2 linked regions of the Macaca mulatta genome follow. The protein of the gene in region 1 purifies or fractionates together with the protein of each later gene. This does not show direct contact. Links are inferred from orthologs where the notes say so. Each region holds a gene or a part of one and is shown on either strand. Other genes may lie near its edges. The genes, in order: KLHL15 and NUDCD3.

Region 1 (4,437 bases):
CCCTAATTTAAGGTTAATTGTAGAATCACGGGCTTCCAACTGTGTATTTCCGTCATCTACACTTTTCCCACAAAGAGATGCCATAATAAATTTACAAACCAGTCCTATAGTCTAGTTTTATATTCTTAAGTCAAGAAAAGGTAATATTTAAAAAGTACTAGCTAGAATTCTACAGCTGATGTGTTAAAAATGAACAACAAAAATCACTGCCCTCTGAACGTTCTTATTTTGACGCAAGTGGAAACAGAACAGCTTTTTTAAATCCGGCATTATCTCCGGGTGGTGCAGACATGCAATTTTTTATGAATTTTCCCACCCCTGGGAAATCGATTTCTGAAACGTGTAATTGTTGTGCAGCAAGCCAAGTGGACAGTGACGCAATAATCCACTGCAAGTTGCCTTACAAAAATGATGTCATTTGGCGCAGATCTAGTCACTTTTATAACAGGTAGCTATGGAAAAGCTCCCTCCACGTTGTCCCCGATTCCCCCACCCCCACCGTGGCCAAGATGCAAAAAGACACTTTCCTGGCTTCCTAGCCCTCAACTTGTCGAGGGTGGGCGCACCTCAGTGGCTCGGGGCCCATCGCTCGTGCAGGCGGAGAGGGACCAAGGGGACGAGGACAGCTGAGTGTCCTCAGCCCCGACGGCGGCGCCGCGGGGGAAGCTGCGTCGGGCCCAGTCTGGGGCCGCGACGCCCGGTCGCCTGTTTTCCTCGGTGGGAAACCGCTGGCGTGGCGGGCCGGCAGCCGGGACGCGGGGCGCCGCGGGCGCGGGACAGCCTTCCCCGCCAGCCCCCCACCCCCGTTCCCACACCGGCTCCCGCTCCCGTGGCGCCGGAAGTGACGCGCTTTAGGCTGAAAGATGGCGGCATTGGCGCTCGACCAGGGGGAAGGTAAACACCCGCCAGGCCACAGGCTGGCCCCCTCGGGGCGCCAGCAGGGGCCGAGGGGGGGCCTCCCGGGCCAGCTCCCCGCCCCCAACGGCTTCCCACCCTCCGCCCTCTCTCCCAGCGTGGCGGGCTTCCGCGTCAAGACGACGGCGCACGGGGCCCCGTGCCGGCCAGCCCCGCCTCCCTGGGCGGGCCCCGGGCGGCTCCCGCGGCCCGCAGGGGGCGCGCGGCCCGGAGCGGCCCCCGGCTCGTGGCCCCGCACGCCCCGCCCCTTCCCCGCCCCTTTCCCGCCTTCCTCCACCCCCGGCGTGGGTGATCCCGAGGCTCGGCGCGCTTCGGGGCAGAAGCTCGGAGACGCCGTCCTCGACGCTACCTTCTCTGGTGCTTCTGTCTCTGCCTGCTGCCCCCCAGCCCTTTCCCCCGCCCGCGGCCCCAGTCGGCCCTCCCGCCGAGCCCCGCCGGGTGCTGCGAGGCCCCCGGCGTTGGCAAGGTCGGTCCGGGCCCCGACGCCGCGCCGCCTCGTGCGGAGCCCGACTGTCTGGTTTCGCGACTCAGCGCTGTCTTCTTTCCCAGGACTTATCCAGAGGGTGCTGCAGGCGAGCACGCTCGTGCCCCGCCGGAGCGACCCGGCTCGTGCCGGCAGCGGCCGCTCGTAGACGTCCGAGAAGCCTGCCGAGTGCCGTCCCGGCGCCCGACCGCCCACCCATTGGCCCGCCGGCCCGGTTCTTCCTGATGCAGACTGCCGTCCACTAGAGGCTGGACAGGACCCCCCGAGGTACGTAGCCGCCCCTGGCCGCCGGCCTGCGGAGCCCGGGCTTCGCCCGCGACCCCGAGCTAGGCACGAATTCGCCGGCCCTCTCTACACGGACCCGAGTCAAACATTGGGTAGACGCCGGGACCTCATTTGTCTTTGAGTTTACTTAAATTGTTTGAAATGTAATTTTTTTTTTTTCCCCAGAGAGAGCGAGAAAGAAAAAGGAAGAAGCATAATTCAGCCATTTTTTGCAGCACACAGCTGCAGGTACCATGATTATTTTTTCCCTAACCCGTTCCTTCCCTTTAACAATTCAATTTATGCCTGAAATAGAACTATGCGAAATGCGAGGCATAAAACTAGGAATCGGAAGGTCTGGGTTCGACTTGGGTGACTCTGAGAAAAAATCGCGTACCGAGCCTCGGTTTCTTATCTATGAAATATAGTCGGTAGTACCAACATCGCAGGGTTGAGAGGACTATATGAGGTCATATATGTGAAAATAATCCTTAACTGTAGAGTGTTGTAAGAATTCAAGGCCGTTTTTTAAAGTAACCTTTGCTAGAGTGGTTAATGTAGTGGCTAACTGTTGCTGCCTCTTTATTTCTATATTACAAATAAAAGCAAATAAGTACGGAATAATAGTAAAGCAGTGCTGTGAATCCATAGATCTATAATAGTCACGTTGCTTGGCCTTCCTCCTACGAAGTGCTAACTGCTTATTTAAATAACGGTATTCTTTAATTCAAATGTAACGTTACTGTAGGCGCTTTGCTTTTCCTCGTTCTAGGCCGCTTTAGGCCCCTTTTCTTACTCTGAATATTTAGTTAACACCTTACATTTGTTTAGTCTTTTCTGTTTTCCGAATTTGTTTGCCTTTGTTGATCTGATTAAGTGGTAATTTAGAAAATGCCTTGCAGACATACATACCCTAATTTTAATGCCTGTTTTTCATATCTAGGGAGCAGGATGCTCTAATACTTCTACTAATTTGAAAATTGGTTAAGAGCTTATCAATGCATTCATGTTTCAGTAATCCTTAATAGATCTAGAAATGTATAGAACATTTCAACTTTTTAGCACTTAATGTAATTATATAATTTGATTCTCATTTTTAATCATCACATGTAGTAGGTGCTTAGAGTCACAGTTTATCAGTGGTAGAGGATGTTAACTTGCACTCTTCATTGCTGATTAATTTGGGGAAAGAATAGGATAGTAAATATTTGTGGTTTGAAAATTGAATTTATTTTGCCAGAATTTATATGTGTAACAGATCAGTATGGATCATTTTTACTTGGCACATCAAAAATATAGTATGGTTTGGCTTAAATGGTCCACAAAAAGTGAAAAAGAAGCATTTTTGGGTACATTGTTATTTTTAGCTAACAAATGGTTTTGAGTAGTTAGGTTTTATTAAATTTATGATTGTCTAGTCCAATATCGGTTGTCTTTTCAGAGTATGCTTTTGTGTTTTGTAAAAAGGCAGAATAATAGAAGTTGGACAGGATTAACATAGTAAAAGGAAAAGCCTACTTCAAAGTGGTTGGTTTTATAGATTGGATTTATCACTTAACTTGAAGATAAAATTTTGACAAATCATTGCTTTATTGGGAATTTGAAGGTTTGACCTTCTCTCTACCTCGAGTCGGGTTATCTCAGAAACCTAACCTTGACCAGGGCAGGCTTGCCTTCATGGATGTTCAGAAGGGCCCCACGCTTGGTTTAATAATCTGCATGTAAAACTGGGATTGTACAGTATAAGGGTGAATGGTAAAAGTCATGCTAATTTAAATTTTTAATTTTCCTTTACTCAGAACGACATTAAACATAAAATTTAAAAAACACCCATGAGAGCCGGGAGCGGTGGCTCACGCCTGTAATCCCAGCACTTTGGGAGGCCGGGAGTTTGAGACCAGCCTGACCGACGTGGAGAAACCCCGTCTCTACTAAAAATACAAAATTAGCCGGGCGTGGTGGCGCACGCCTGTAATCCCAGCTACTCTAGTTCTAGCTACTCTGGAGGCTGAGGCAGTAGTAGAATCTCTTGAACCCGGGAGGCGGAAGTTCTGGTGATCCAAGATGGCGGCATTGCACTCCAGCCTGGGCGACAAGAGCAAAACTCCGTCTCAAAAAAAAAACGCCGTGAAATAGTCGAGAGATACAGAAGAAAGGAAAAAGCTTTATATTTTACTGCTTTTGACGACTTTTTTTTTTCTTTTTTTTAAGACAGAGTCTTGCTCCGTCGCCCAGGCTGGAGTGGAGTGGCGCGATCCTTGCTCACTGGAACCTCCACCTCCTGGCCTCAAAGGATTCTTGGGCCTCAGCCTGCTGAGTAGCTGGGATTACAGGCATGCACCACCACGCCCGGCTAATTTTTGTATTTTTGGTAGAGACGGGGTTTCACCATGTTGGCCAGGCTGGTCTCAAACTCCTGGACTCAAGTGATCCGCCCGCCTTGGCTTCCCAAAGTGCTGGAATTACAGGCGGGAGTCGCCGCACCCAGCTTTTTTTTTTTTTTTTTTTCCTCTTTTGAGACAGCCTTGCTCTGTCTCCTAGGCTGGAGTGCAGTGGCGCGATCTCGGCTCACTGCAACCTCCGCCTCCTGGGTTCAAGCTATTCTCCTGCCTCAGCCTCTCTGGTAGTTGGAATTACAGATGCGCGTCACCATGCTCAGCTAATTTTTGTATTTTTAGTAGAGACGGGGTTTCACCACATTAGCCAGGCTGGTCTCGAACCACTGACCTCAAGTGATCCGCCCGTCTCGGCCTCCCAAAGTGCTGGGATTGCAG
Region 2 (3,364 bases), on another chromosome or scaffold:
GCAGAGAAATTGGCAGGCACCCAGTACCTCCCTTGGTTGAAGGCTGCTCCAGGGTAGTACGGTTCTCTGGGAGCCGGTCTTGCCAGGCAAGTGCCTGAGCCCTGAGGAAGCAGGAAGGCTCTCTGCCTGCAGTCAGAGTCTGCTCTGGGAGAAAGTACACAGTGCCTTTTGATCCCCTTTAATCTCTCTATTTTCTGTTTGTAGAAAGTCCATGAGATGCTGAAGAAGGGGTGGGATGCTGAAGGTTCTCCCTTCCGAGGCCAGCGATTCGACCCCGCCATGTTCAACATCTCCCCGGGGGCTGTGCAGTTTTAATGACCAGAAGGAAAGGAAACCCTCGCCGGTGGGGAGGCAGAGCCTTATCCTCGGCCGCCCTCCTCGGCTCCCTGCGTTCCAGGGACTTGCTCGTCTTGTTTACCCCTAACCATCCTTTCTTTCAAGGGTGAACCAGGCCTTCCACCCTGACCTTGCATCTCCAGACTGTTGCAGAGAAGGTGCGGGGCCAGCTGCTGTGTGGTGGCCGCTGTGGCTGACGCTGAGTGAAGGTGTTTGAAATGCAGGAGAGGATATCCCAGCAAATTGGGATCACATGCTTTTGTCTCCACAGCAACCAGCCACTGCAGGCAGCATGTCTTTCCTCCCCTGCTCCCTGCTTGCTGTTGTTTTGACGCTATTCTGCTTGCATGTCTTCTGGTTGGGATGTGGAGTTGTTGCTGGGCTCTCAGGCGAAGCTGAAGTCATTGAAGTGTGTGAAGCTCTGTGCTTGCATGAGGGCGAGCAAGGAATGGCTGTGCCTGGGGCTGCTTTGGGAAACTCTTTGCCCCTTGACCTCTTTTGGGAGCATTCACGTGGTCTTCTTGCTCATCCCTTTATAAATGTGCTCTGCCTGCCTCAGCCTCATGGTCAGAGCAGTGGAAACTGGAGCCCTGTTTGCACATTCTAGTTGTTGGGAGAAAGCCCGGGTTCTGGGCTCAGGTCCAGATGCAGCAGGGATTCTGTTCTCTGACTGTGGCGACCTTGCTTTGGTTCTTGTTGAAGTGAACCAAGCCCAGCCACCACGCATGGCATGCTGTGCTTGGCTCCCCATAAGACGTCCTCTTTGGGTGCACGGTGTCAAAGCGTAGGCAGGAGTGGAGAGCTGGTGCCCTCAGGAGGAGACCACAGCATGTTCATCAGCTCATCAGCAGAGCACAACAGCCACAAGTCCTGAGAAGCTTTGACCTTGAGGGGCTTCTAGGAGAAGTGGAATTTCTGCATGGGGCGTGAAGGCACACTGTCCCACCACAACTGAACCAGAAGAGAGAGAAGACTCCCCCCTTCCCATCCTCTGTGCCGGGTGTCAGACTGCGCTCCCTGGAGCTTATGGCCCGATCTTACCTGTTCTCTGGGGACTGATCACTGCCTCAGGAGCCCCAAGCCTATGCCCTGAGCCATGGCTGCTGATTGACTCCAGCCAAGGTGCAAAGATGAAATTATGGGACAGGGCCTCAGGCCTGTGTTCCAAGTACTCACAGGGGCTCTGGGTGCCCATCGCCGGGAGTATGGTTCAGCTACCATCGGCACTGCCCATTTGCCTGTCTCTCAAGCTCAGAGCATGGATGAGCCGCACAGCAGAGCAGTGCACCCTGGCACCATGCACGGCCAGCAAGAATCAAGGCCTGCAGATGCTAAGAGAGCCTATTGTCAGGGGAAGGACCCCACCCCTGCACACACTCTCTGTGGATACTTGGGTTGTGGGGGCTGTCTTGGAGAGTAAGTTTGTGGTTGGTTTCTGGTTTACAGTGGTGGCTGACACCCCTTGTAAGAAAGCATTCCTGGGAAGTCTTCTGTGGGTCTAAACATGTTGCTCCGATCATCACGCGAGAGCAGAAGGCCCTAGATACCCCCTTTGGAATGTGAGAGCCTTGTTGTCTGATACTTGCCACTGAGCTGGTGAAGCCGCTCTAAGGAGATCTCGACCCTGGGGAGCAGAACTCTTGTCATCTATGAGGGGTCCTTCTGAGAAAGACTCATTTTTTTCCTGGAGTTCTTCCCATCGAGGTCCTAGGATTTCACATCACTGTCCCATAAGAGCTTTCCTGCCTAATGAAAGGAGGTCTTGTGTGTGTCTCCTCTCATCTCTGTAGTTCTCGAGTTGGCCCCCATTGCAGCCCCACCCTGTGGGTAGTCTTCCAGAAGTGATGCAGTGGTGTGAGATGCCCTACACCTTGTTATTTGGGAGACTTTGAGAATCACTTCCATGGTGACCAGTGTTTGTTTTGCCTGATTTTGTATTCTGTGTTGCATTTCTCCCCACTCCCTGCCCTGCTTTAATAAATGGCAAACCAATGTCTAGGAAGAATGACTGAAGGGCAGTATTGGGTATTGGCCCCATGGCAGGAGCAGCCACTTGCATCTGGTCCCGGTGCCACACTGCAGTGCTTGGTGTGGTTGTGGAGCCTGTCCCTGCACGCCTTGCTCCCGTTGAGCCACGCTGTTTGGTGGGTGATTCTCTGCCCTGAGCCACCACTCTGGACTGGCCCAGTCTCCAGAGCTGGCACACCCTGCCTGTTTTCTCTTTTTAGACACAACAGCCGCAGTTTGGCCAGCCACTAAGTCCCACCAGCTGAGGTCCGAGGAAAGCGGGGTGACTCATTTCCCTTGTCCAGGGCCCCAGGAGAGTGAGGTGTCCAGCCTGCAAAGCTGTTCCAGCTCCTCGGTGTTGGTTTGCAATAAATCGGTATTAAAGCAGTTCTGGGTCTGCGTGTGACATTTGCTGCTGAGACAGTTCTGTCTGTGCATGGTCATTATTGTTATATTCTGGCCTCGGGGTCCCAGGCCAATGTACACAGCAAACACCAGCGTGGGGAATTCTTAGGGGTTGTTTCCCATCTGGTCTGAATGCACTGGGCAAGATCTCAACACAGCTTTAGAAATCCTGTAAGATTTTGATTAGTGAGGAGAAAAGGAATGTAGCTATAGATCTTACATCCTTTCAAACAGGTTCTGGAATTCTGTAGTTACCGGAAAGCTTAGGGTGAGTGCAGAGTTGGGAATGATTCCACTGGAGGGCCATCTTTGCCTACCAGGCTCCAAGGCCCTCCTTGATCTCCAGGTACATACCTGCTGTTACCTTTGCTGAGCCCTCACAATGGGCTTCCTCCAGGACATAACCCCATGTCTGACACACAAGTCTCCCAGGTGGCTGGCCACCTGCTTCTTCCTCAGTCAGATCTTTGACTCTCCTTCTCTGTGCCCCACCCCATTCCATGGGTATCCATCTCCAGCCTCCTCCGACCCTGCTCACCCCTGGGGACAGGACCTAGGGGTGTGAGAATTACTTCTTGGCTGAATGAAGACTGTTTCAAAGGCAACCCTTAGAATT

The links.
Region 2: the proteins of KLHL15 (region 1) and NUDCD3 purify together in Homo sapiens (co-immunoprecipitation; 3 studies listed by BioGRID and IntAct, with this or other methods). This does not show direct contact. The link is inferred for Macaca mulatta from reciprocal best matches to the Homo sapiens genes KLHL15 and NUDCD3.

The regions. Positions count from the first base shown.
Region 1 is NC_133426.1:23,827,280-23,831,716, reverse strand, and holds the start of KLHL15 (kelch-like protein 15), read left to right. Parts: upstream 1-1,569; 5' UTR 1,570-1,666; intron 1,667-1,849; exon of another isoform or gene 1,850-1,912; intron 1,913-4,437. UniProt on the Homo sapiens protein: Substrate-specific adapter for CUL3 E3 ubiquitin-protein ligase complex.
Region 2 is NC_133408.1:84,051,129-84,054,492, forward strand, and holds the end of NUDCD3 (nudC domain-containing protein 3), read left to right. Parts: intron 1-204; coding exon 205-315; 3' UTR 316-2,720; downstream 2,721-3,364.